Bombyx mori: one gene and its partners. The protein of the gene in region 2 interacts with the protein of the main gene of each other region in a biochemical or structural test. Links are inferred from orthologs where the notes say so. Each region holds a gene or a part of one and is shown on either strand. Other genes may lie near its edges.

What was found.
Region 1: of the proteins of Rpa2 (region 2) and Cdc2, one has a biochemical effect on the other in vitro, tested with the Homo sapiens proteins (2 studies listed by BioGRID). The link is inferred for Bombyx mori from reciprocal best matches to the Homo sapiens genes RPA2 and CDK1.
Region 3: the proteins of Rpa2 (region 2) and E3 ubiquitin-protein ligase RFWD3 form a complex in vitro, tested with the Homo sapiens proteins (3 studies listed by BioGRID, with this or other methods). The link is inferred for Bombyx mori from reciprocal best matches to the Homo sapiens genes RPA2 and RFWD3.

What each region holds. Positions count from the first base shown.
Region 1 is NC_085122.1:10,042,753-10,048,777, reverse strand, and holds the end of Cdc2 (cell division cycle 2), read left to right. Parts: intron 1-392; coding exon 393-502; intron 503-830; coding exon 831-944; intron 945-1,808; coding exon 1,809-1,911; intron 1,912-2,581; coding exon 2,582-2,785; 3' UTR 2,786-3,789; downstream 3,790-6,025. Other genes in the region: zinc finger protein 431, read right to left, coding at 5,052-5,165, 5,948-6,025. UniProt on the Homo sapiens protein: Plays a key role in the control of the eukaryotic cell cycle by modulating the centrosome cycle as well as mitotic onset; promotes G2-M transition via association with multiple interphase cyclins.
Region 2 is NC_085114.1:7,172,080-7,179,815, forward strand, and holds Rpa2 (replication protein A2), read left to right. Parts: upstream 1-1,892; 5' UTR 1,893-2,028; intron 2,029-2,663; 5' UTR 2,664-2,831; coding exon 2,832-2,841; intron 2,842-2,913; coding exon 2,914-2,984; intron 2,985-3,055; coding exon 3,056-3,277; intron 3,278-3,530; coding exon 3,531-3,716; intron 3,717-4,300; coding exon 4,301-4,506; intron 4,507-5,079; coding exon 5,080-5,164; 3' UTR 5,165-5,196; downstream 5,197-7,736. Other genes in the region: LDLR chaperone boca, read right to left, coding at 7,139-7,313. UniProt on the Homo sapiens protein: As part of the heterotrimeric replication protein A complex (RPA/RP-A), binds and stabilizes single-stranded DNA intermediates that form during DNA replication or upon DNA stress.
Region 3 is NC_085117.1:96,987-102,483, reverse strand, and holds the end of E3 ubiquitin-protein ligase RFWD3, read left to right. Parts: intron 1-1,094; 5' UTR 1,095-1,115; coding exon 1,116-2,945; 3' UTR 2,946-3,261; downstream 3,262-5,497. UniProt on the Homo sapiens protein: E3 ubiquitin-protein ligase required for the repair of DNA interstrand cross-links (ICL) in response to DNA damage. Plays a key role in RPA-mediated DNA damage signaling and repair.

The DNA of each region.
Region 1 (6,025 bases), on a different chromosome or scaffold from region 2:
AACTAATAGGTGAGCTCACGGGGCTCAAACCTGATGACGTTGCTAACACGAACCCTAGCAAGAGCCGTGCTTCGCAGAATCTACCACTGGATCAGAAACGCGACCCACTGAGAAGATCCGGCGAGAAACTCAGTGGGCTGTGTCTGAGGGTTAATTTACTCGTCGAGCCCTTCGTCGCAAGCGACGGGTTCGACGAGAACGATGATCGGTGCTTGAGGTACCTAAAAGTACTGTTAGTGGATCGGGAGGATCCGAAATGACGTGTGTGAAGGCCATGTCATAGTATATTTGTTCAAAATATAGTTTTACCAGTTTGAAAAGTCAAACACTGACATTAGACAATGGTCATATAGTTTTATTTTCTTCATAAATACCTAATAAATTTGTGACAGGTTGCAGATTTTGGTCTTGGTCGAGCATTCGGTGTTCCAGTGCGGGTCTACACACATGAAGTTGTCACATTGTGGTACAGGGCTCCTGAGGTCTTACTAGGAAGTCAAAGGTAAAATCTTATCCAAATCAGTCAAAACCAGCCACTACAAACTCCAATATAACTTTTCTATAATGAGTAATCAATACACATTAGTTGTAATTTGGCCCAATAATGAAATGTATTTTAGAAAAAACATTTTGTTTTAAGAGCTTTAGACTTTGTTTTCTAAAAAATGGCAAGTTGCATTGTAAATTCATAGAATAGTGTGGCAATACATTGCCACTAATTGTTTCTTAATACAAAAGAATGGTCAGTGACCGTGTGGAGTTCATTATTTGGTAGATTATTTATTTATTTATTATTTATTTTGTATAATAGTAACTTGTCTTACTTTTAGATACTCTTGTCCAATTGATATATGGTCAGTTGGCTGTATATTCTCTGAGATGTCATCAAAGAAGCCACTGTTTCAAGGAGACTCTGAAATTGATCAACTCTTCCGCATTTTCAGGTGAGTAGGCATTTCGCCATTTTAGTGGTAGGCTTTGGCTATGTATTTCTGAGGTCCATGAGCAACGGTGACCACTTACTGTGATGCTTGTCTGCCTTAGATTTATTAGAGTTAAATCTTAACAACAATAATTGAAAAAAAAAAGTTTTTTATGCTCCCTTCAACAATGGAATGTAACTGGTGCTTAGAATAAAACTCTAGTTTTGGATTAAAACACAGATTGAACACTAACTAAAATATGATGTGGACATTCAAGTTTTGGTTGTTTTTTTTGGGTGTGCAATTACTACAACAACACTTATATAACAGTTAATAAATTTTAAAAAAACCTGTTGTTGGGGTAATTAAATTATAATAATACTATTTCAACTTGATTGAGTGATTTCCTTCCAATAAAAGAATGAATATAATGAAATGTTTGACTTACATTTACAGGGCAGTAAATATGATTATAAATATGTAATTTTGAAGTATGTAGAAAGAAATAGAAGACTAGTTTACATATTGTTAGCCTCTAAAACTTCTGTTTATCCATTCCATTCCCGGATGTACCTCCACTTTCTTGCGACCTTGCTTATACCTGATATTAGCTTAAATAAAACAAACTATATGTGTAAATTCAAATCAATAAAGTGTGAAATTCTGAACAGATAGATTTGCTCCATGCATAATTTCCAATGAAATGGAGATACATGAATGAACTAAACTTCTAATATGGGATTTGTGACTCCCAATTTTTTTTGAGTTAATTTTTCTGACTCATTTTCCAATTTCGTTTATGATCAATGTATATGGTATCTGCTGGAGTACACTTTTTCTTATTAGTAACTATTTAAATCACAAGATCTCTTAATTTATTAACAGAATGCTAAGAACGCCAACAGAAGAGATATGGCCTGGTGTTTCTCTCCTACCAGACTACAAGCCAACCTTCCCGAACTGGAACACGTACAATCTGCACAATCATGTACGTATGAAGCATATTTTATTTTAGATTTTTATATGTCTATTGTTCTTGAGATATTTCCAGATATATGAAAAACTAATTGAATTCTATTACATAATGAGTGACACTACTCCAGCTAGCCAAGATATTCCCTTGGGATTTTAGTGAAAGTTTATTTTAGCAGAACCAGCTGTTAAAAGTTTTGTGTGTGTGTGTGTGTGTGTGTTGTATAATGTTTTTTTAATATATTTATTCTGGACTTTGATGTCCTGTTTCTGTCGTGAAGCACTTATGCGTTCCAGTTTGTAAGATGGGACAGCTCTTATGTGATTTATATTGAAACTTCGACCTCATATCAAAACTATCTTTCTTCACTTTCTTTATCGCTCAGACTTGTGATTGAGCATGTGGCCCACCTATAATAACGGTAACGGAATCTAATAAACAGCATTTATTCATGTCATTAACGACACAAATGCCGCCACCCATCTTGGAACATAAGTTCTGAGTCCCAGTTTTACAGTACAATAGTTGTCTCGTCATTCAAACCAGAATACGTTACTGCTCGTGCGGACTTACAAGACTCCCCAACACCATTTAAGCTATATTATATTATACTAGTTATTATCAATGACGTGACTGAGTTAAATCTTTTCTTCCTACCGTCAATTGTAACGTGCATTTTTTACAGGTACAAAACCTAGACGAAGTGGGCATGGATTTGTTACAAAAGATGTTAGTCTACGATCCGGTTAAAAGAATATCCGCGAAGGACGCGCGACGACACAAGTACTTTAGAGACGTGAAACTACCTCCCGGACTGACAGTGCACGACGCTTACATCAGAGTGACGCCAGAATACCCATACGACACGGATTCTGTTCAAAGTGTATAGGAGACACGAATCATTAGAACTAGGTGTCATTTATAAAGACTACAAATATATTTTCAGAACGAATACAAAGTACAACTCAGTTGGGCTCCTCTGTCGCAATCATTGCATTTTAATTTGAGAGATTTGAGGTATGTTCTCTATACTGTATTCTCCACAATTCGCATCCAATCTCCTTATAGTAGAACCTTAATATTTAAATGTACTTTATTTTATCGAATTTGATCTAAAAATTAAATTAGTCAATTCAGATTATTGAAAAACTAAGACTAGTAAACGCGAGACGTAATTTAGTTAAAGCTTTGAACTTAAATAATTTACGTAAAGGCTTTTTAATGAATTTGTGTGTCTGTGAAGTTGGGATTTTAAACCGTCGAGAATAAATGAATAGATGTGAGTTATTTTAAAGCTATTTCGGCGAAGAGCTTAATTTTTAAATCAAGTCACTAGGTTTTAAATAGTGACCATAGAAAATTATTGTTTGATTATTATAGAAAAACGTGTCATAGTTTGTTCGAAGTTGTACAAACCTTCATAGTTTTAACTTTGAATGTTGGTTTCGTTCATTACCTTAACACTAATTTGAGAATTATTGATAGTTAATTAACCTTGAATAAATTAATTCTCGTTGTCTAATCGTGTCGTGTATACATCTTTGTGTCGTTTTGTCATGTTCGACTTATGTTATAGGATAGTATTTAATTATTTCTTCTGTAATAATATTACTGCCAAATAGTTGTCTTCATTGAACTGTTTAATAAGTTTTTACGAACGCTGAAATGCTTAATAACCTCAGACACCAAAGGCTAAAGCAGTAAACTTAGTGCATAAAAAACTAACCACAATAGTTTAATTATCATTACAAACTAACTTTGGATTTGGATAAGGGTTCCTTTCGACTAAAATACCTGTTTAATAATATATAAAACTTGCAGTATTATCATTCACGCCTTCAAAGAAATATTCTGGAGCTTGTGATGATCATAATAGTTTGTTAAATATAGTTTGATATGCGGCAAATGTGATTTATAGGATTATAAGTCCCATTCGAATAAAATCATTTTTGAAAATTATTATTTTTCAAACTATTCGCTGTGCAAACTCCCGGCGTATCAAACTGTTTTCAACAAACTATAGGACTCTGAACGGTTTTTACATACATTTATTAGTAATGCATTTGGAGATAAGTTTAACTATATTGTTCTGTATGCTGTTGAAACATCGTGTGACATGAGAAGTATTTTATATGTATTTTCATGGAAACTTAATTAATTTAAACTTAATTATCTGTCCAATTCATGTTCTTCATACACTATTATGTCATCTAAATAAATAAATACATAAGATCAATAGGTTGTACTGCAAATATTTCTTTAGTATAACAGAATTATAAATTGAAATTGTTTTAAATCTCTTCAATTAATATCTAATACCAACAACGTGTTTCTTTTTCTTCTAAAATAATTGTAAACAGTTTGTTTTTAATAGTAAAGCATAATTATTTATTTAATTGATATATATATATTACATGTTTGACGTGTGGGTGTTTTAATAAATAATATGAAAAAAGACGTTTTGATAAACTTTTGACAAGAAACAAATGTAATATTATTTTCTTAAGTTTTTGCCAATTTCTCTGGACCGCTCATAAGTTAATTTTATTTTTAATTATATGTAATGGAATGTGTATTTGATTGATAATATTTTTAAGCATTGTCTTAATTTGTAAAGTATAATAATAATTTTAATATAACTGTGTTGTTTTACTGAAACAAGAAAGTTAATTGACAATTCGTTTATTTTTTTCTAATAGAGCTATGATCAAAATTGTACATAAAATATACAGAAGAAACACTAAAGCTAAGTCATATGCTATCACCTCCTGAAAACTATTACAATATAAAACCTAATTATTATTCTGGTATTAAATAATTTACTACTGTAAAAGAAAACGTTTGATTATTATAATAATACAACAATATCGACTTTGAAAATAAAATTTAAGAAACAAAAAAATAAATACAACTAACAAATATGGGTAGCAGTACTTTAACATATGTACTTTCATTGCTTTTAAAATCCTACAATTATTATTATAATAATAAGTATTTAATTTTATTTACAGATCTATAAAAATCAACAACAAATTCTGATAAAGCTACTTATATAAAGTATGCACCGCAGACTATATTTAATTGACAGGAAAAGTACGAATAAAAATCGATTAAAATATCACCTCAAAATTTCAATCGATTATTCGATTTTATTATTAGTGATGTATGAACACGTGAGGGTGTCCCGGTTGAGGCTGCAGTATGATGCGATGCGGCACGTTGATCTCCTGCTGGCCCAGGCCCGACACCGCCACCGTCCCCGGCTGGAGCTGTTCATACAATCACAGTATACTGATACTGGTGGAGGGACCTTTTGTGAGTCCGCACGGGTAGGTACCACCGCCCGGCCTATTTCTGCCGTGAAGCAGTATTGCGTTTCGGTTTTAAGGGTGGGGCAGCCGTTGTAACTATACTGAAACCTTAGAACTTATATTTCAAGGTGGGTGGCGCATTTACGTTGTAGATGTCTATGGGCTCCAGTAACCACTTAATATCAGGTGGGCTGTGAGCTCGTCCAACCATATAAGCTATAAAAAAAATCTCTGTACTGCTAACTAATCTAAAGTGTAGGACGAAGTAATTAAAATTTAGACCAATTGTTTCACGTTGAAGTGTCCTGATATGTTTTTAGACAATATAAATAATCGACTATTAAATATTTAATTTCTTAGGAAAATTAATTAAAAATCAACATATGTCCTTTTTATATTCCTAAAACAATCATATGGTTGTGATGAGACTTAATACAGTTATTTTTTTCTACCTATTCTAGTGACTTCGAGGGGTCATACTATTATGACCGAGTACTAGTATGAGTTCACGGGGCTCTAATCTGAGGACGTTGCTAACACTGACCCTAGCAAGAGCAGTGCTTCACAGAAACTACCACCGGATCGGAAACGCGACCCACAGAGTTATTGTCTGCACACCAAGGCACTGTCTTAGCACTATCACTATGTAACGAGTGGGCTCATATAATCGGCGATGGTCTGCCCGTAATGAGTTTCACTTGAGAAATAATTAAACAAAGTGCCTATTAAGGTTTGTTTACCTGTAGAATGTTCGGGAGCATCGTTTGACAGGAAGAAGTGGCGACGTGAAGCTGTTGTTGTTGCACTTGTTGCACGCC
Region 2 (7,736 bases):
TGATTAATAAGCTGCTATGATTATACTTGTAAATCTGAGTAAACACTAAATTAACGGATAAAAGTAACTTGATATATTTTTGCAAAAGATCCTGTTTAGATGGGGACCGAACTCAAGGCCCAGTTGGAACCTGTAGATATCACAATAATGTGAATATCGCCACTTTAGCACTCGAGGTCTAAGTCTCAAATAGTTGTTAAATGACAGCTTCGCATGATTGCTTCGTGACAGGAATAGGCCTGAAAATGCAGTAAAATATAAAGAAAGTTTTATCTGACCGTTACAGAAACCAAAAAAGTACAGACCTTTACTGGTGGTAGGACCTCTTGTGAGTCCGCACGGGTAGGTACCACCACCCTGCCTATTTCAACCCTGAAGCAGTAATGCGTTTCGGTTTGAAGCGTGGGGCAGCCGTTATAACCATACTGAGACCTTAGAACTCTTAACTAAAGTTGGGTGGCGGCATTTACGTTATAAAAGTCTATAGGCTCCGGTAACCACTAAACACTAGGTGGGCTATGAGCTCGTCCACCCAAATACGCAATAAAAAAAATGTTAAAAAAAACTTTCAGGTGAGGCTTTTTTTCCTACCTAAGCTGATAGTCTTGAGAGGCTATTTCAGCATAACCCTAACAAGTAGGTGAGCTCACGGGGCTCAAACATAATGACGTTGCTAACACTAACCCTGGCAAGAGCAGTGCGCAAGCAGCGGATTCGACGGAGAACGATGACCGGCAGGTGAGCCCTAAGTTTATTTGCCACTCAATAAATCTTAATCATAATTTGGTATTTTTCAATGTTCATCTTAGAGAGTCTTAAATGAATTATAGTGCCACCTATTTAAATTATAATAATAATGGTAATGGCTGGGTAATGTCTAAATATCTTGTTTTAATCCATATTTTTATGATTCTCATTTTATCATCTGCAGAACTCATTAACAAAGCCAAACAAAGCCTTTGGCCTTAATAGAAAGTAAGTAAGGTCAGTGGATATTATTCTTAGGGACATTAGTTAAAATAGTGGTGTATCTTATCTAAGATATGCCGATGATACAACAATCCTTGCAGCCAGCGAGTCCGAGATGGCTGCGATCTTGGAGCGAATAGAGAGAGTTAGCCTTGAATTTGGCCTGCACATAAACCGCTCTAAGACCAAAGCGATGACGGTGGACAGAGCTCAAGTTTTAAGTCCATCAAATGCGCTCAAGGATTATGAGAAAGTGGAGGAATTTATATACTTGGGGTCGCTGATCTCTAACAGTGGTAACTGCGAGAAAGAAATCGGACGCCGTATCGGGATGGCTAAAAGTGCCATGACTAGCCTCAATAAAATCTGGAAAGACCGTAATATTCGCCGAGTAACTAAGATGCGTTTGGTTCGTACGTTGGTCTTCTCTATCTTCCTGTATGGGGTGGAGACTTGGTGTCTCAGGAAAAAGGAACGCAAAAAGATCGAGGCCTTTGAAATGTATTGCTGGAGAAAGCTGCTACGCATTCCTTGGACAGCTATGAGAACCAATGTCTCCATCCTCGAAGAGCTGAAGGTCACCAAGCGCCTGCTGACTATGTGCCAGGAATGGATCCGGAGTTTTTTTGGGCACATAATGCGATCCTCATTGCACAGCCTGGAGAAACTCATAATTCTCGGACAAATAGAGGGAAAGCGCGCTAGAGGAAGAGCGCCAGCTAGATGGGTGGACCAACTCAAGGAGGTGACTGGAGGCCAGATACAGGGAGCGGCACATATGGCGCCTTTACACTCTCAGACAATATCACTTGTACTTGTAATGTTACTTGTAATTGAATATGTTAGATAGTGAATTAAAGAATATTTAATATTTATTATATTCTCGGCTAGATTCCCTTCGCCTATCCACTAAACAAATTCAAAAAAATCTATAAAATGGCGGGAATTAATTGAGACTTCTGTCTGGCCAAACTCCAAAGGGACATTTTGGTTAAAACTGTTAAAAGTTACTGAAACAAAATAAATCATCATCTTTTGGAAGATAAAATATGTGAACCTATAGTCGGATTTTTTATTAGACGAAGTCAACTGACGTTTACTGTGTTGTCAGTTTTTGATGAAATAAAAATAGTGTTGTGACAAAGTGAACGATTGAAAAAACTCCTGAATTAATGAAATTGCCTCGATTGTCTAGTGAACAGTTGGTGTGCCGAATTGCCGATATCGGGTACGGGGTTCGAATTTTAGGCGTGCTTTGTACATACCAACGAGTTTTCGACGAAATATTATGTTCCTATAATATCTACCTGTACTGAATACCGAGTGTTTTAAACATTAAGAAAAACATTGCGAGGAAGTACTTGTAAGACTGTCCTATTTCCAATACATCATATAGTTGAAATTATAGATGTATAAAATATAACAATTATAGGTAAGTAATGAAAATAAAAAAGCTGATTGTAGTTACATACTACTAGCAACATATATTGGAGCACTTTAATACAATTTTATTGTAAAATATAAATAGTACTCTTTTATAGTTTGAAATTAATGATTAACTCTTCACACTCATTGTTCATTCGTGATTGAACGAGAACTGAACGCATCACTATTACTTTAAATATAGCAACATTATTTCACAAAGTGACATTAGCTACTGTCAGCTAGCTTCGTCTAATTAAAAATCCGACTATAGTGGCTTACTCGCTTGAAAAAAGTTTACAGGAATAAGAATCAAAACTAAAAAAATTAAACCATACTACCTTTTCTATTAAGATCGGTTCGGAATTGTTTAGTGCATTGTACTACTGCTGTTACTAGAATAGTCTTCAACTAACAATTTTGACCTCTACTTTAAAACAATGTGGAATGGTTTGTTGTTTTATCATTTACATGGTTATCTTTATAGTTTTTTCTGTATTAATTAGAATTTGTTACATTCAGATGATCCTTCTGGAGGTGGCTTCCTTAACACCACAAATCAATTTGGAAATACGGCAACACCCAAAAAAACTGTAAGTTTACAAAAAAATAAAATTCAATTGATTACGAAAATTTAATATATTAATAATACATTTATTCACAGGGTCGTAGAGCGGCACGGACAGCACCTATAGTCATCAGGCAAGCTTTGCATTCTGGAGAAGAAGGTGTGAAAATATGGGGTACAGAAATTCAAATAGTGTCAATAGTTGCAAGAATCAGGAGCATTAGAATGCAAAGCACTAAAATAACATATACAATCCAAGATATAACAGGGAGGATGAGGGCTGTACTCTGGCTCGACCAAGAGGCTATGGAAGTTGAAGTAAGTGAAAGTTACTTCCAGTTTCAGAGTAATGTCAATGTAAACGAAATCATTAATTAAAATGAGTTAATCCATTAATCATGTCCACAATCATGGTAATAAAAAAAATAAAAAAATCTCAAAGTCAGATTAAGTTATTAAACTTATTCTGTGCTTTTTGAATATTTAAGTATATGCCATTTTGATTCTTTAGATATTGAGTATTTTACATAAAAAAAAACAGATATTAAATCTTTCTGAGCTTCAATTTCAGGATACCTCATCACCTAAAGTTCAAGTAAATGATTACATACAAATTTACGGCAATGTGAAAACGAATAAAGGGACAAAAGTGCTCATGGCATTTAAGATAATGCCAGTTACTGATGTCAACATTATTACATTTCACTACTTTCAGTGCATTCATAATAAAATACAAATGGAAGCTGGCTCAAAGAAGGTAATTCTAATATACCTGGTAATCTTAAAATTTATTATTCGCATTTCCATTCACCATAGCTAAAGGCAGAAGTAACTACTTATAACACAATATTTTGAGGGGTTAAAGACTATTTGGTTTAAGCAACATTTAGCTTAATACACATGAATTTTGTATTTGAAATATTTAGTTCTTGTATGTAACAAAAAGAGTTGATAATAATTGTCAGATATTTTTATTACAGTACAGTACATAAAAATATGTCATAGTATAGTATTATTTGTTATTGATTCTTCAGCAATGTAAATGATGTCTTCTTCATCAGCAATGACTTACCATTTCAATTTTCATATAAAATGAATTTCAGCACATCCAACATGCTTCTCCTTTTTTTCAGTTTTATTTTAAAATAATAATCTACTATTTTCAAACTTGAACCCTTTATTCTGATAAAGACAGAACTACAAATTTAGTTATCATTCAGCTCTTGCTAGTGCATTTGAGTTGCATCATTGCTGTGGATTATTATGTCCCATCATGAATGGTGCTTCCGCCTACATGTTTTTTGCTATACATTACTTCATAAATTGGATTTTATTTTGCAGGAAAAAAATATTCAAGATGTCCCAATTAACAACATGCTGCCTGCAAATTCAATGGTTGGAATTACTGAAACCTCTTCAGTGAATGGCTTAAATTCTCGTCAGATGATGGTCTTCAACCTTATCCGTGGCTCTACTGTTGAACAAGGAATTAGTAAACAAGATATGTATGCCTCACTGAAAGATCGAATGACAAAAGTTGAATTTGAGTATGTATTTTTTAATCAACATACTAAATTTTAATTCAAACATTTTTACCCCAATAAATTATAACTGATAACTGATAGTAAATGATAACTTAAAAATAGAGTTGAAAGGAAAAAAATAAAGCAGTTAGATTTTAAATAAATCATCACAATCAGCCCCTTTTCTTAGGAGTTTAGTGACAAACACACATACAAAAAGATTAAATCTATCTTCTATCTATCTATATATAAATTATTTGCTGTTCGTTAGTCTCGCTAAAACTCAAGAACGGCTGGTCCGATTTGTCTAATTTTGGTCTTGAATTATTTGTGGAAGTCCAGAGAAGGCTTAAAAGGTAGATAAATATGAAAATCCTCAAAATTAAATAAAAATAACAATTTTGTTTTTACTTTGATGTGTCCCTTGTCGGACGAATTCCTTTTTTTTGTTTTAAGTTTCTTTTATACAAAAGTTTAGGTCTTTTATTTATCGATTGAGGCACTACAAAGTCTGCTGGGTCAGCTAGTATAATATAAAAATTTAAAATTAAGTATAGAAAAATTAAAGGGTTTTAATTTTTTTATGATTACTTGCAGAAACATTTTGGAATGGATGTGTGGAGAAGGTCATATCTACTCAACAATTGATGAAGAGCATTTTAGAGCAACTGATGCATTTTAAAAGTTATATATTTCATTTTTTAAAACTTTTATGTAATAAATATTTTGTACCAATTTTTTGTTATTGCTCTAGTTGAGCTAATTTTAAACCTGGTTAGTGAATAGGTACCAAGAGTGTTCCAGGGGTACACCAAAATCAGAATTATTTTATTCAAGTAAGTATTAATAGATACTTGAATCAGCAGGACTTCCATCTGACCCTGTAGACAACACATCCTGAAACAAGATCACCAATTATACAAAGCGAGATTTTCACTTTGTGTAACCAGACCCGCGGCTCCACCTCGAGGACGCCCGACCGACGATTCATTGAGGCGATGATCGACCACCAATGATGCCGGTTTCCGCGGTACGTCGGCCCTAAAAGGTCGCCCGGGCATGCCGTGGCGTTTCGGTATACCCCGCTGGGCCAGAACCAGCCAGCCGAGTCGGAACGCGATACATCACCGACCGGGTTGCTCTACCACAGTATGTTCGGCGACGACGGCAATGGGGATCGCTGCCGACAACGCTTTGTCCCATCCTCCTGGTACCAGCGCCCTAGAGTAACGGCAGCGTGCGGTGCAGCCTCGACCCCCTCAGGTTGCACCTTGGCCACCACCGGGAGAAGATTGCCTCCTCACAGGAGCAATGTCTATGGGTTAAGCATTACCAGGGGCAGAGCCAACCTGCTGCCTATCGTTAAAATTTCTCCAGGATTGAATTGGACCAGTGGTTGTCTTCACGGATGCAGATTTTGATATTTTTATTTATTGCCCTTGTAGGCAGACGAGCATACGGCTCACCAGATGGTCAGTGGTAACCGTCGCCTATGGATTGCAGCAATGCCAGGAGCAGAGCCAACCTGCTGCCTACCATTAAAATTTGTCCAGGATTGGATTGGATCAGTGGTTGTTTTCACGAATGTCGATTTTGAGATTTTTAATTATTACTCTTGTAGGCAGACGAGCACACGGCCCACCTGGTGGTGAGTGGTAACCGTAGCCCATGGACTTTAGCAATGCTAGGGGCAGAGGCAAGGCGCTGGTTACCGTCCATTTGATTGTCCATTGATTTGAACACCGTAAACCTTTTTTTCTCCATGACAAAATTCGTAAAGCTCCAACTCTCGACTGCGATCACTGAAGAAAACGTAGCGATTTTTATGCGATTCATTGAAGAACATCGACATATCACAAGGATCTTGAGGATTGGATGCTGAATCAAACAAGAGTCAACAAACAAATGATATAAATACATTTGTCTGGTTTTTTTTAAAATAATTATGACTGATTACAATTAAGATAACGTACATTGTTTTTTGTATCCCAAGGAACAAGTCACTGACACCATCCATCCAGTGAGTCTTTAAAACTTTACAACAGATCCATACAGTGAGTCTTTACAACTTCGAAGTTCAAAACGTTTTTCGTATTGACATTTTGAGTTTTACGTTTAGCGTAACATTGCCGTTATAACAAATTAGTGGTAGCAGCATCAAAAGACTTTCTTTGATGTTACTTGATTGTTAATATAACATTCTTTTGAACTGGTAGCAAGCTGGATTTTTATATGTAGGCAAATGCCTCTCTAATTACCAATCATGTGGGCCATATGCTTATTATTCATGAACATTAACACAAAATAAAACTGATTCCTCTTTTCATTTACTTTTATTTAAAAAAATAGAAAATTTTGCTCATTTTTACAGGATAAGCTGACGTTAGCCCATCCTAATAACTTGATCAATAAAATACCGCTTTTTCAACATACCTTAATGAAACTAATAAGATCTCAAATTGTACTAAATTAGCTAGTACATAATTGTGGTTTTTTATTATAAGATAAAATCTTTCTAAAAGTGTTTGTATTGTAAATGAATATTCTGATTTTTTTCATTTATGTTGGTAGATTACTCTCAGCTTCAGGAATGTTTACGGAAAACTTTAGTACAAATATACATATAAATCATACAATTTATTTTATTATAGTTATTTTATAACTCATCCCTTAGAGCTTTGTTTTTAATATCAGGTTTCTTTCCTGGGTATGTTTGACTTTCCAATTGAACTTCTTTAAGCTCCTCCTGTTCTAATAGAAATTCTTTAGCAGTCCATGCTTGAGATCCATCTTTGAACATGAAAATGGCTCTGTCATCATCTATTAAGTACCTAAAACAAAACTTCCTTTAACTAAAGCCACTCATACTGGGGTATGGGATCTGGTAACATTTGACAAATGAGCAGTTTGTTTGACTATCTATGCTGTTTAAAAAAATCATATCAATTTGATAGGAACCTCTGAATTCACCCTGATTATGCACACATGCATGTTTGTGTAATATTATTGACATTCTGTTTTATTATAAAGCAAGGTTTTTAGTTTCAATGACAATAAAATAAACTGAATTAAGGGACTCCGCAGGTAAATAGATATCCATTCAATTAGTTACTCTTTCCTGCTAAAACTTCAGATAAAGAGGCAATAGGGCTGCATCTTCATTACCCAGATGTTAAATTTAATAAGGATAGTACTAAGACTGTTTACTGGTAATAATAACTTTGACTAATTTCAATTTTGAATAACAGAAACTG
Region 3 (5,497 bases), on a different chromosome or scaffold from region 2:
TTGTTGGATTGACACAGCTGTGACTCTTAGATGTCCAGCTGGACAACAGTGTGCTATGAGCAGCTATGAAAGCTAGCTAAGACATAATATCATGCAATTGTTGAGGACTCTGTAATGTCATCTGGCTGTGACTATTGTGCTAGAGATACTCAAGTGTGACCACCATTCTTCAAATAAGTATTTATCTTTAGTGAGAAATTTGTGGGTAAAGAGCTCCAAAGATGCAGGTGTGTGGATGAGCTCGCAGCCCACCTAATGTTAAATGGTTATCAGAGCCTGCAATTTTATTATACATAATTATAAGATGGAACAACAGCTGGTATGAGGCCAACTTTCATTTCATTGCAAACAACCGCTAAACAGTTGTGTACCCAGGTCTGATACATGAGGCTGTTGATAACTAAGACTTTAAGCTGATGTCTCAAGGTGAGGGGTGGCATGCATGTTATGATGTATGGGTTTCATGGTGAGGTTTCATGGTGAGGTGGCGGTGTATCGCGTTCCGACCTGGCAGGCTGGTTCTGGCTCAGCGGGGTATCCCGGAACACCAGCGTCATCGCCCGGGCGGCTCGGTAGGGCCGCCGTACCGCGGAGACCGAAGTCGTTGGTCGTCGACTATCGCCTCGACGACCCGTCGGTCGAGCGTCCTCAGGGTGGCGCCGCGTGTCTGGTTGTAGTGTTGACTGCAGGAACCCCTCTACTCTGACCGGGTATTGACCCCGAACGGAGATCGGACGTCGGGTGTAAGAGTGCAGGGGAGTCGTTTAGTGGGTGTGCCCTAAAATTCCTTGGGCCCGCTGTCTGCTTCCAACACCTTGCAGATCGTTGAGTCCCACATAGCCCGCGCGCCCCATAGGCGCGGGGACCTCGTAAGAGGTTCGGGCCTCGGCCCGAAAAAAAAAAAGTCTGAGGTAAAGGATTTGTTAAATTAAATTAATTGGAAATTCAAATTTTAGATAATTATTATTTTGCGTTGTTTGTTGAGCCATCAGCAATTCTACCACTCGTCTTCGTTTCCAGGAACATTACCAACACACCTTCTATGTAATCAAGAAAAGGATGACTTAGACCAAAAACATTTTCTCTGTTCCCAGGTAACCCAATGACTACGAAAAATGAGCCAGTATCCCACCGCACAGAGCCAGGGCACAGAGTCACCGGGGAGTCCAAATATATTCGAAGAACCGGAGCAAAGCTTCGCAGCAGCAGAGAATGACAACCACATAGATCTGCCGTCGACTAGTCGAAGCCATGATCACGATCCCTCCGAGGGTCCGTTAGATGTGCCCAGCGATGAGCCCATACAAATAGACTTGGCCGGTCCCTTGAGGTACGACAACGATGACAGCAACGACACGGTGCTGAACATCATCATTAACGGACCAGGACACCTCCCGGCTCAGAGCGAGGACAGCAACCTCACTTCACCTCTCACCTCATTCAGCGATGAGAGCACGAGACAATCTATAAATGAAGATTCGAATAGTTGCGCTTCGATCAGATTGAACCCCAGGCCCCCTGATGACATCGAACCCCCAGCCAAACTCAGGAAGATGAACGAAGTCGAAGAGGTCGACGGCGAAACCTGCCCGATTTGCTTGGACTCGTGGGGTAACTCCGGTGACCACAGGCTAGTAGCACTGCGCTGCGGTCACCTTTTCGGTTCAGAGTGTGTGGAGCGCTGGCTGAAGGCTCAGAAACTAAAAGACAGAACGTGCCCGACCTGCAAGGGGAAGGCCAACTTGAAGGACCTGAGGTTCATATACGCGAGGCGCTTGGTAGCGGCGGACACTTCGCAAATTACGGCTCTACAAAAACAAGTTGAGATTCTTCAATCAGAGAAGAGCAGAACCGAACTGGAATTAGAAAAGATGAAGATAGCACATCGCGCTTGCGTGCAACAGCTCGAGGGCCTACGGAGCACCCTAATGAAGTCTCAATCTAACAAGGAGCAGCCTTCCAGGAAGTCCTGGAGGTTCGCCTTGGAGAAGAACCTTGAAATATGCAAGGACGGAGGCTGCAGAGTCCTGACCTACAACTGCCGGACCTACGAGTTGTATGTGTCCCAGAAGAGCGTCAACTATCTCTTCCCTGGATTCGGGATAAGGAAGATCAGCTGTGTCGACTACAAGCTGGGGCAGTTCGTCCATCTGCACCCGAAGCCGATCCGCGACATCACGTACTCCCAGCACCGGGACCTGCTGCTGAGCGTGGCCCTGGACAGCACGGCGCGGATAGTCGAGCGCGGCATCCTCAGCGTGACGGTGAACTCGGGCATGCCGCTCTGGTCCTGCTCTTGGGACAACTTGCGCAGCAACGAGTTCTACGTAGGCGGCGTCGGAGGCGTGATCCACCACTATGACGTCAGAAACCCTAGCACCTACTTACGGATGCTGAGCTCTCCGGGGGACCTGTCACCAGTTGTGTCTTTGTGTTCCACAGAATATGGTCTCTTGTCGTGCCAGTTGAACTCATCGAAGCTGTGGGCGGTGAACACAAGGCAGTGTGAGCCGAGGGTCTTGCCCGTGGAAGGATCGTTCATGTCTCTGGCCTATGATAACGCGTCCCAACGCGCCGTCATAGCGTCCAGACCGAGTTCGAATGGTCTAGAAAGATCTAAGTTGAGCGTCTGTAAATTGAAACCGAGCATACCGAACGGCGAAGTTATTTGTGACGTGGTAGAAACATTCTCGGGGTCGCTCAGGTCCTCGTTGATGTCCAAAGTGGCCTGGGTGAGGTTAGCGAGCTCTGCGTGGGTCGCCGCTCATTCTGAAAGCGATTCAGCGCTTTATTTGCACGGCGTCGACGGCACGCGGACCATGTCCCTGCCCGCGTCGGAGCCCGCGCTGGACGTGTGCTCGGTCGAGACGAACGGAAGCAATATACTGGCGGCTCTGTCAGAGTCCCGACTCAGGCTGTACAAGGCGGTCCCCACCAATACGTGACACGATTACACCATTCCATATTAATGTAACTTTTATATTGCTTGACGACGTTGTAGCGTTCAAATTGTCTTGACAGCTGTCATTTTTGACAAGAGTCATGAAAAATTAAATTGAGTGCTTGTTGTCTCTTTTGCTCCCGAAGCTGTGACTTCAGCATGCAGCGTCTATGGTCACTTGCTTATAACAACGCGCTAAGTACTTTGATTTGTATAAATATAATAATTCTTAAATGATATTTTAGACTTTGTAATATAATTTATATTTAAAATGTTTTGTAAATATTAATTGTGTTGAGAAAGTAAAATTTAAACCTTGATACTGTGTTATGTTTCTCTTTGTACACCCATATTATAGAGCTGAAGTTCTTACCCACAGAGCCTCAAGTTTGAACGTGGTGCATGGTGCATGAGGCAGGTGGTTTCAGAAAACTGAGTTATGGTATGTTTACCAAAATCAAAGACGCGATTGTTTAAAATGTCAAGAAAACTAATTAGATGAAAGAATTATATTAATATTAAGTGTATTAACCACGATATTAATTATAGAATTTTGCTATATTAATGGTATTCAATTTGAATACTCTTAACAAGGTAAATAGCTAGTTAATTTTTGTCTTTGACAATAAATAATGCTTTATATATTCAAATAGTAAATATGGAACATTCTTTCTTAAGATTAGGCTTTAAAAGAAAGGATCTTCGCACCAGGTCGATCGGCAGTTCATGTACTGGTATCCAGTAAAATAGATAGGCATTTTGTGAAAAATTCACCAGTCAATCTCCTTCGGATCCTTCCGACCTGCAGATCAGACCCGATACAGGCTTCGCCCAATTTAGATTTTTACTTAGGATAGCATACTGCATTAACTGTGGGAACCAGACTTTTTTTTGCTAAATATCTTCTTGGCTTGGCCTTTGTAGTCATAAGCCTTTTCTGGACTTTGATTTCACTGTCAAAATCAATATTGTCAACTGTCGATTGAAACTTGTCAAAACTCAAAACTGAAAATAAACAGTAGGTCCACTTTTGTTTCTAAGTTTCCAATACGAAAGTCTGTTTTTTTGAAAAGAAATTCTTAAATTTACCACATTAAAGACGTTAATTAAGTAACATTTTTATAAAACTCATTATTTGAACCAGTACAAATCATCGTAAAAACGTAAGTAACAGTATTATTTGTGAGAAATGTACCGTGTGCGCGAATGAGGTCACCACCATTGATTAGGTTTTAAAAAAAGTAAAATGATTTTTTTTATTTTCGGTTTTCATTCAAAAATTCCTTTCTTTTGCGTCATACCAGAGTTTCATTCTATATACCTTTTTTCTCAGCGGTTCTAAGCCCCTGATGCGGCCGGTCTACGTCCGTGCCGGGCCCACGGCCCACGCGTGGTCACGTCTCTTTTAGATAATTAAACCAGTTTGCTCACCATAGCAGCTTAATATTAAATTCTGTAGTGCGCATTTACTCTCGTATCTAAATTATAATTTCTAAAGATTAATAAGCAACGGTAACCGCTTACATCCCATCTCTCTGGTGCTAATTACTAAAACTATTGGTCTATATTTACTCCAACTGATTGTCTGAAGGGAAGCACCATCCACAATATGGTTAGGTAAGCAACTTGGCCATGTTAACTGCTTACTCTCTCTAGTAAGAGTGCTAGAAAATAATTGTAAAACAATCTCTACAATAATGTAGATACCTGACTGTAATTGTGTGGCACTTAAACATAAATTTGACAATATAAGAAGGTTTAGAGTTTATAATATTGAAATGTTTAAAATAACGTAAACAACGATATCCACATGGTCTTAAAATTAATTTTAATTTTATCAATACCTCGCTAAAACCTAACAAAATACAATGATTAGTTGTAAAACTGAGAGTAAAGGGAATGAGTGCTCATAAATAGCAGCACTACGCCAAAAAATTATTAAAATATCAATTCAAAATCGTTTTTTTTTTGGTAATGTTTTCTTTGCACACAACAAATGAAGAATGAAAGTATTTCAGATATGTTGTACGTTATTGTGGATGTTTGAAAAATTTTGGGGTAGTTTTTGCACTGGTAAAATTGACAGTGATTGTATTAATGTAGTTATTGAAAAATTAAGAAAATATTTAATAGGTCAGACTGTATATATTCTATAATAGTTTTATTACAAACTCTAAGTGACAGTCATTTATTTGTAGAAATAGAAACGCCATTTATGTTACGGAGCGTAACAAACAATTTTGGAATTGGGTGTAGTACACTTGGGTGTAGTAAGAGCAGACAAAAAATAAAACAATCAGTTCCTTTAAATTGAACACTCAGGAAAAATCATTCACGTCCTAGAGCCATAGGGTAGAGTGTGGCAACATTGAAGATGAAATTTAAAGAGCAAAGCGAAACAAAGTGTAACATTCTATGCCTTAAAGACTTTTTCACTACTACTAGGTATATAATTGATACTAGCGAGTACTGAATGATATTTTATGATATCGATTCTTAGAACTGTCAATACATGTGTCTTTGATTAAAACCGTTTCGTTATTATTGAACTTTAGC